2 linked regions of the Canis lupus familiaris genome follow. The protein of the gene in region 1 interacts with the protein of each later gene in a pairwise test. Links are inferred from orthologs where the notes say so. Each region holds a gene or a part of one and is shown on either strand. Other genes may lie near its edges.

Region 1 (4,291 bases):
GGAGGTGAGCGTGTCCCAGGCCTTCGTGCTATCTTCACTAGCATCATTCCAAGGGCTTTCTTCATCTACGGGGTCAAAATTTGAGGTGTCCATGGGGTGGCTGATCTTGGGAACATACGGGGCCGGCTGCTTCCGGATGTCACTTGAGAAGTCAATGGCCCCGAAGAATGGGTGGGCCTTCAGGTCATCGGCCCCATTCCTCCCTAGCCGGTGGTCGGCAGCACAGCACAGTTTGGTGATGAGGTCCCGGGCCTCGGGGCTCAGCTTCACCTGGACTGGAATGTGGAGCGTGTTCTCCCAGTTTATCACCTGACGAGACAACAGAACCCAAATTTTCCTTTCTTTTCACATTTTAAGGCCAGTTTAGGGCAGTTCTGAGACAGTATGTGGTGACATGGCTTTCAAATAATTTTACTTTCATGACGGGACAACAGTTAGAACAAACCCAGGAGCAGCAGTTGCAAACCTGAGCAGCTAGGAAAGGCCAGTGTGGTTTAGTAAAGGGCTCACAGCCTGAGGCAGGGGGTGATGAAGCCAAATAGAGACCAAAAGAGACTGATTTTCTTCTATCAGAAAAAGAGTTTAGCAAAAGAATTTTGTGATTATTATGGCCAACAGATGGTCAACTGAGGTTTTATTAAAAAAAAAAAAAAAAAAAAAAAAAAGACAACCTCACAGAGGAAAATAAAGGTGACTGAACCAATGGCCCTGGCCTCATATTCATGACAGTCAACCACACAGAGCAGCCATTGGGATGTTCAGTAAATACATTTGTTATGAAATGCATCTGCTATGAAAAGAAAACCTAAGAGACTTCTCTATTATTTATACTTAGAATCAGGATAAAGCAAGGCCAAGCTAACAGGCCACAGGCTGGGGTGACAGGGCATTGGTAAGGCATGGAGGCAGGTGGGGTATGGGTGGGAGGGCTGGTTCAAACTTGAGTAGTTGTTTTAGTAGATCTAAAACTGTGAAAGCCACAGAAGAAAACATAGGGGCAAATATTCATGACATTGGATTTGGCAAAATTTCTTGTATATGGTACCAAAAAGCACTGGCAACAAAACAAAAGATACACAAAACGGACTTCATCAAAATTTAAAACTTTTGTGCATCAAAGGACACTATTAACAGAGTGAAAAGGTAACCCCCAGAAAGGGAGAATATATTTGCAAAGCATATATATCTGATCAGGGATTACTGTCCAGAATATATAATATCATGATCCTAGTGTCCTGGGATCAAGTCCCACATCGGGTTCCCCACAGGGAGCCTGCTTCTCCCACTGCCTATGTCTCTGCCTCTCTCTCTGTATCTCTCGTGAACAAATAAGTAAAAATCTTAAAAAAAAAAAAAAAAATCCACAATGAGATACCACCTCACACCCACTAGGATGATTACTATTAAACAACAACAACAACAAATGAAGTAAATGTTGATGAGCATGTGAAGAAACTGGAAGCCTCAAGCACTGATGATGGGAATGTAAAATCATGTAGCCACTGTGGCAAACAGTTTGGTGGTTCCTCAAAAAGTTAAATGTAAAAAAAAAATAAATAAAATAAAAGTTAAATGTAGAATGACCATATGATCTGGCCATTCCACTTCTGGGCATGTAACCCCAAAAACAAAAGCAGGAACTCAAACAGATACTTGTATATGTACTCATGTTCACAGCAGCATTATTCGCAATCACCAAAAGGTAGAAAAAGCCCAATTGTTCATCACCAGATGCTTGATAAATATATGTGCTATACACATACACTGGAATATTCTTCAGCCTTAAAAAGGAAGGAAATTCTGACACGTTACAAGATGGATGGACCTCGAAGACATGCTAAAGTGAAATAAGCCAGTGGTGAAAGGACAAATACGGTATTACACTTTTACAGGATACCTAGACTAGGCAACTTCACAGAGAAAAAAGTCAAAGAGAGGTCTGGGGGTGGGAGGAATGGGGAGCTATTGTTGATGAGCCCAGTTTCTGTTTGGGATGATAAAACTATCGAAGATAGGTTATGGTTACAGTCGTACAACACTGTGAATGCACTTAAAGCCACTCAGCTGTAAAATTAAAAATGTTTAAACTGGTAAATTTTATCACAATAAAAAATTGAGTTATCATACAAGCAAATTAGTGAATGGTATGGCAATTCAATTAGGATAGAAATAGTGTCAAATTTCATTTTTATTGTTACCAGAGTGAAAACTAAGCCTTCATTCAGGATTTTTCTAAATAAGGGATTATTAATTTAGGGTCTAACATGGACTCTGGGACTTATGAATACTTCAAGAATTTTTAGTGAACACATATTTTGGTGGGTAAGTGCACTGTTCAAAGATGTTCCAAAGATTTTATCAAATTCTCAATTCAGTCCTTCCTAAGAAATCAAATCATTTATTTCAGAGAATAATGGTTATAACTCCAAAACTAATTATTTACTATTAAATGATTACTTCCAATCAATATTAGAAAAATGTGCAACTAGCCCAATCACATAGCTGATAATCTGCAAGCAATAATGGATATAGTGTATAATGTAGTATAATATCCAAAGAAGTAATTGATTTCTTCAAGTACAGTTCATAAAGTTTTCAGTATTTTTTGCAGGTAGGCACGTGTGGCAGCAGAGAATGGACATAGGGCCCACCTTTACTGCTTCTCCCTGTTCATAGTTCAAGATGGCGGATGACCAATGGTTCAAGTAAAACTTCAGATATACATAGATATCAAAACACAGGTCTAACTTGGTGGCTTTACTTATTAAAATAAAACTTTTTATACAGGTAATAATAATGATTTAAAAACATACAACTGACACTCTTCCACTACTCAGAATTAAAGGTCAAATGCTGACCAGAGACTCATGGGTTCATCAGAAAACCAAGTGTGTTTGCAGCGAGCAGATGCATGGGCTGGTTAGTACCTACCTTCAGTTGGGTTTCCGTGGGGGTAGGGGCCAGAAAGGGTGGCTGTCCCACCAGCATCTCGAAGAGAATCACACCAACACTCCACCAGTCACAGAGCTGAGTGTATCCTGAAAGACAAAGTCTCACTCAATTCCACACAGGTGTGCATTCTTCTCAGAGAAGAGTTTTGCAAAATCCTCAAATGCTAATTTGCCGTTGAAGGGGAAAGCATGTTCAAGCAGCACACATGTCATGTAAAAGGAAAGCAACCGACACAAAATGTGCCTCCCTGTACGTGTGGCTCAGAATAGCAGGCTGGGTGGGACACCTGCCAGGGTGGTGACAGTCTTCATGTATTCTCTTATTTTCTACAATTAGTCTGTAATAAACACAGGATGCTTTTATAATAAGACTTTCTACTTTTAAAAGCCTATTGTTAGTAACATCACTAACCGGGATTTTCAGTTCTTAAAGAACTGAAAGACATAAACTAAAATAGGACTAACTGAAAACCAGAAAGTGCTCTACCTGCCAGTCCTGAGGGCTTCCCTGGGAGGCTTGCTAAGTCTGTTTTGGAAGAAGTTGAGGAGTATGAAGAGGAGGGCAAAGAAAACAACTGTCTCCTAAGACCTACTGCGATGCACTCAGAGAGCCAGGCCCTTCCTCACGGAGCTCCCAAGGTGCGGTAGCTGCGGCAGGGCGCCTGCAGCTTGGTCAGGCGAGCCAGCCTCACCAAGGCAGTACAACAGGCCCATTTTTCAATTTTCTCCCACTTGTCCTTCAGAGCTCTGCATCCTAGTCCCAGTCATGCTCCAGTCTTGATGTCACCTGATCCTGGCTAAGCCTGAACTGGGCCTTAAGACCTGCCAGCAGCATTTGCTGTGTTCTCCCATCACCCCATCCCCCAGCTCTTCCACCCTGGTCTGGCACTAGAGGTGGCAGGGTAACTTGGATCCCTAGTTCCAGGACTGCACACATTAGGGTGCTGGAGATACTTCTCACCTCCCACTGTGAGAGGAAGGAGACAATGAGACTTTCCTGTGCGGTAAGGCTGATGTTCACAGCAACCTCTCAAGGTAGTTATTGTTATACCTGTGGCTCTGAGTGGTTAAGTGCTTTGCTTTGGATTTCCACAGCTGACAAAGAAAACTGGAGTAAAACAACACATGTGAAAAGACAGACCACCACATGTGAAAAGACAGACCACCGATCTCTGGATTTATTATACTGTCACTAAAAGCCCTGCAACTGATCCCTGAAAGGTTCTTCTCGTACTCAATCAAATGTCGTATTTGATAAAACAGAGCATCCACACAGGAGACTAATTCTACTGAATGCTTGTAGTTGCATGTACACCACTGCCCCCAAATCTCACCTTCCA
Region 2 (4,195 bases), on another chromosome or scaffold:
GCGGAGTGGGGTATAGATCCCTTATTCTGTCTCCTGAAAGCATAGGACACCGCGTGCGCGGGAGGGGGTACCTTTTAAGAACCTAAATGAGAGTGCTTCAGTCGTTCAGCAGTTAGGCCTAGTCAATTACTCATTAACGATAACATTGCCAGTGCAATTTTTTTTTTAATGGAAAGTAGCGGAGGCCGACCTGATAAGTTGTGCCAGCCACGGTCGGGAATCGATCGCCCGTTGCCGTCCAATATAGGCCCCCGCGGCGGGGCGCTAGAGGAAATCCTCCGGCCTTGCGCAACGCAGGCCCCTCGGCGCAGCCCAGCGCTGGAGCGCCGCGCGCCGAACCAGACCGCGCGCAGGGCGAGGCCGCCAGGCGCCGGACGGGGGCGCCCTGGCTGCGGGGACCGGGGCGAGAGCCTCCCGATAGCTCCGGAGCCCCGAGTGTTCTCCGGAGAGACTTTTTTTTTCTTTTTTTTCTTTTTCGTGCGCCGTGCTGCCTTCGCGCGCGCTCCAGGCTTTGGCCGACTCCGGGTCTTCTTAGGTGGGGGTCCGGTGGGTGACGGCGGAGCACTCCCGCCCCGCGCCGAGCCCGGGGCCTGGCCGAGGTCCGGGAGCCGCGGCGCGGCCGGTTTCGTCCCGGCTCCAGCTTCCCAGCAGCGCCCTCCCCCGGGGCGGGCCCTGACTCTCGGGGCCGCGACGAGTGGGCGGCAGAAGCCGGTGGCCCCCTGGGCGAGCGGCTGCGGGGAGCGGCGAGACCCAGCGGCGAGGCTGGCGCTGGGACGCAGCGGCCGCGGCGCGCTCGGGCGAGAAACGAGGCCAGGGGAGGAGGAGGAACTAGAGCCCATGAAGGGGAGCTGCCGCCGAGGAGGGAGGCGGGTCCTTTCGGCTGCGGCGGCTGCTGTTCCGGGACGCAGCCCGGGGAGCCTGCTCGCCCGAGAGGTGCTGGCCAGGTAGCTCCCCACCCAGCGGGCGCCCTCCCCGGCCCCTCCCAGCGCCCGGCACGCAAGGAGCGGGAGCCGCGCTCCGGGGGGCCAGGGCGCTCCGCACGGCGAGCGCGGCGCCCTTGAGCTGCACGGCGGCGCGGGCTCGCGAGCCGACTTGTCTGCCGGCAGCAGAAGGAAGCGCGGTCCCTTCCCGCTCACCCTGGCGTCCCCACCGCTCGTACTCTACACCCTGCCTCGGGCGAGCGGCGCGGCCACGGAGGCGCCGAGGAGGGGCGAGCCGCCGCCGGGTAGCGGCGTGCCCCCGGGAGAGAGGGCGCCGGAGAGGAGGCGGCGGCGCGGTGCGGAGGGCGCGACGCGCGATGGCAGCTGCTTAGCCCGGCGCGCGCGGAGCAGCCCGGAGCTGTGGCTGGCCAGACGGTGCGGCTGGGCTGGGGGGGGACGCCGCCGCCGCCGCCGCCGCAGCCCGGCCGGGAGAGATGAGCGCCGAGGCGGGCGAGGGCATCACTTTCTCCGTGCCACCCTTCGCCGAGGGCGGCAGCTGCCGGAGGGGAGGAGCGGCGGCGCCGGCCGAGGGCCCGGAGAGCCAACTACCACCGCCGCCGCCGGGCAGCTTCTGGAACGTGGAGAGTGCCGCCGCCCCGGGCGCCGGCTGTCCGGCTGCCACCTCTGCGAGCAGCGCCACCCGGTGCCGGGGCAGCTCTGGTGGCGGAGGCGGCCGACGGACCACGGTGGCTTATGTGATCAACGAAGCGAGCCAGGGGCAGCTGGTGGTGGCCGAGAGCGAGGCCCTGCAGAGCCTGCGGGAGGCGTGCGAGACGGTGGGCGCCACCCTGGAGACCCTGCATTTTGGCAAACTGGACTTCGGGGAAACCACGGTGCTGGACCGCTTTTACAACGCAGGTGCGTGTGCAGCCCCTTCCGCGTCCTCCACGGTCAGGGGCCACGTTCTCCCTGGCCGCCCGCAGCGGGGCAAGGTTTTCCTAGGCGGCAGGCGTGCTTCCTCCTTACCCACTTCTTGCCCCACCTTAGGGGCAGCGAGCGGCGCTGCGTGACTGCTCCGGGCGCTCGCTGCCCCCGGGGAAGAGTGGGTGCGGGTGCAAGATCCTGTGTACTTGTGCTAGACCGACTGGGTCACCCGCCGGCCCGCGCTGGAGCCGGTCCGGAGGCCCCTCCTCAAGAACTTTTCACTTCTAAAGTAGTGCGAGATAGTGGCCCCATCAGCCTTTGTCCATTTGGGGTCTTGGTTTCTCTTTTGCTAGGTTTGGCCCATTTCTCCCTTCTATATATACACCTGTGACTATTTTAGATGACGCTTTCATTTTTTCTCTGTGTGGTGTTGGGAGAACAGGAACCACGCAGCCCGCTGCTCTCAGAGTCTATCTATACGCATTTGCATGTCGTGTCGTGATCTTCCCAAGTCCTTTCACTCGAACATATTTAGTAGCTTGGATGTTCTAGTCTTAACCGATTTGAACTTCTAAGGAATTACTTCCAAAAGCAGTAACCTTGTCACTTGAACTAAACTTTCGTGGTGTCTTTGTTAGGATTTTGGTGGGAGAATATTATTACCCCATATACCACAATGAGCTGGAAAGTACATAATTTAACATTGTTTAAAATATTTACTATTTTAATAACTAAAAATTAGTTTGTTTAAAGGGAGTGCCACCAGCCCCGGTGGCGCAGCGGTTTAGCGCCGCCTGCAGCCCGGGGCGTGATCCTGGAGACCCTGGATCGAGTCCCACGTCAGGCTCTCTGCGTGGAACCTGCTTCTCCCTCTGCCTGTGTCTCTGCCTCTCCCTGTCTCTGTGTCTCTGAATAAATAAATAAAATCTTAAAAGAATAAATAAAATGTAAAATTAAAAAAATAGAGTGCCAATGTAATCCATAAAAAAGTTATCTTTTCAAGTATCACATATTTCAGAAACTGTCATTGCAGTTCTAGTGATTGATGCAATTAGCTATTTGCTTGCTAAAGTTGGGAATAATATTAACATGCTATTGAAGTTAACCTTTAGTACCCTGTACAACCAAATATGAGAACATACATGTATTTATTTTTTCTAAGTGTGGGCGGAAAATTTAACAGTGGTTTCAAACAATAAGATTCTTGCATTTGTGATCACGTAAAAGGTTTTATATTCCAAACTTGCTTTCAGTTCTGATTCTCTTCAGTCTCTTCAAAACACCTGAAGTAGGCTTATGTCAGCTTTGGAATTCAGCCAAAACTGAATATTTTTAAGAACCAGAAGAACTTCATGTTAAAGAAGTCAGACTAAATAAACCAGGGCTTTCTGGTGCTGGTATTTTTTTTACAGTCTTGGTCTTCAGAACTGAACCTGAGTATGATATATTATAGCTCAGTTTTTTGTGTGGCTTGCTATAAAAATTGCATAAATGTAACTTTTCTAAAAATTATAGCACTCTTATTTTTGGATTATAGTTTGGAAGAAACTTCAAAGAACTGAAAGATATGTGAGGAAAACACCCAAGCAAATACTGAGCCTATTTTTATTGCTCTGATAGATTCTGTATTTTTTATAGGACTCTAAAAAAATAAAAAATCTTAAACTCTAGGCTAATTTGGAAGATAGTTTCCTAACATGGCACAGTTACTGTTTGTTCTCCAAATAACTGTTTGTGGGAAAGAGACAAAGGAAGACTACAAGGGGACCGACATTTGAACTGTATCTTTAATCCCCCAAACAAGCCCATTAAGGAAGTACTTCTTATTCTTCTCAGATGAGGAAACCAAGGACTTTATAACTGGCCTAGACTTACAGGTAGTAACTGATCAATGCAGGGTTCCATTTCAGGTGGCTGACTCTAAAAGGTCATCTTTGCTGCTGCCTCCATTTAGCTGGGCTGATTTACTCTATCTTGGAATCATGTGATAGAGAGCTGGCGGGGACCTGGTGAGCCATTGAGGTGCAGCGTGAATCATGGGGAGGACACTTTGGGAAGACTCGTTTCTGAGCCATTCTGAGCCATCTCTCTCCCATCCATTGCTTCATTCAACCTGAGCAGGCCCCAGTTTAACCCCTACTTATGCTCATGGTAATGAACTCTGAGCCCTGTCATTGAGTCTGAAGATGTGACCAAATGAAGATGGTATGTTTTGTCCAAATCCTTTGTTTTTCTCAACTGACGGCTGCCAACTTGGATGGTAGTAGAACTTTTCTTCTGATTTCAGAGGGAGCGCTTGCTCCTCCTCCACCAGGGAAACAGTTTTCTGGGAAGGGCCAGATGGTAAATAT

What was found. The genes of interacting proteins can lie anywhere in the genome.
Region 2: the proteins of LATS2 (region 1) and MAP3K5 come close enough for resonance energy transfer, tested with the Homo sapiens proteins (2 studies listed by BioGRID, with this or other methods). The link is inferred for Canis lupus familiaris from reciprocal best matches to the Homo sapiens genes LATS2 and MAP3K5.

Annotation. Positions count from the first base shown.
Region 1 is NC_049246.1:17,242,138-17,246,428, reverse strand, and holds part of LATS2 (serine/threonine-protein kinase LATS2), read right to left. Parts: intron 3,039-4,291; coding exon 2,932-3,038; intron 310-2,931; coding exon 1-309. UniProt on the Homo sapiens protein: Negative regulator of YAP1 in the Hippo signaling pathway that plays a pivotal role in organ size control and tumor suppression by restricting proliferation and promoting apoptosis.
Region 2 is NC_049222.1:29,533,573-29,537,767, reverse strand, and holds the start of MAP3K5 (mitogen-activated protein kinase kinase kinase 5), read left to right. Parts: upstream 1-1,395; 5' UTR 1,396-1,414; coding exon 1,415-1,838; intron 1,839-4,195. UniProt on the Homo sapiens protein: Serine/threonine kinase which acts as an essential component of the MAP kinase signal transduction pathway. Plays an important role in the cascades of cellular responses evoked by changes in the environment.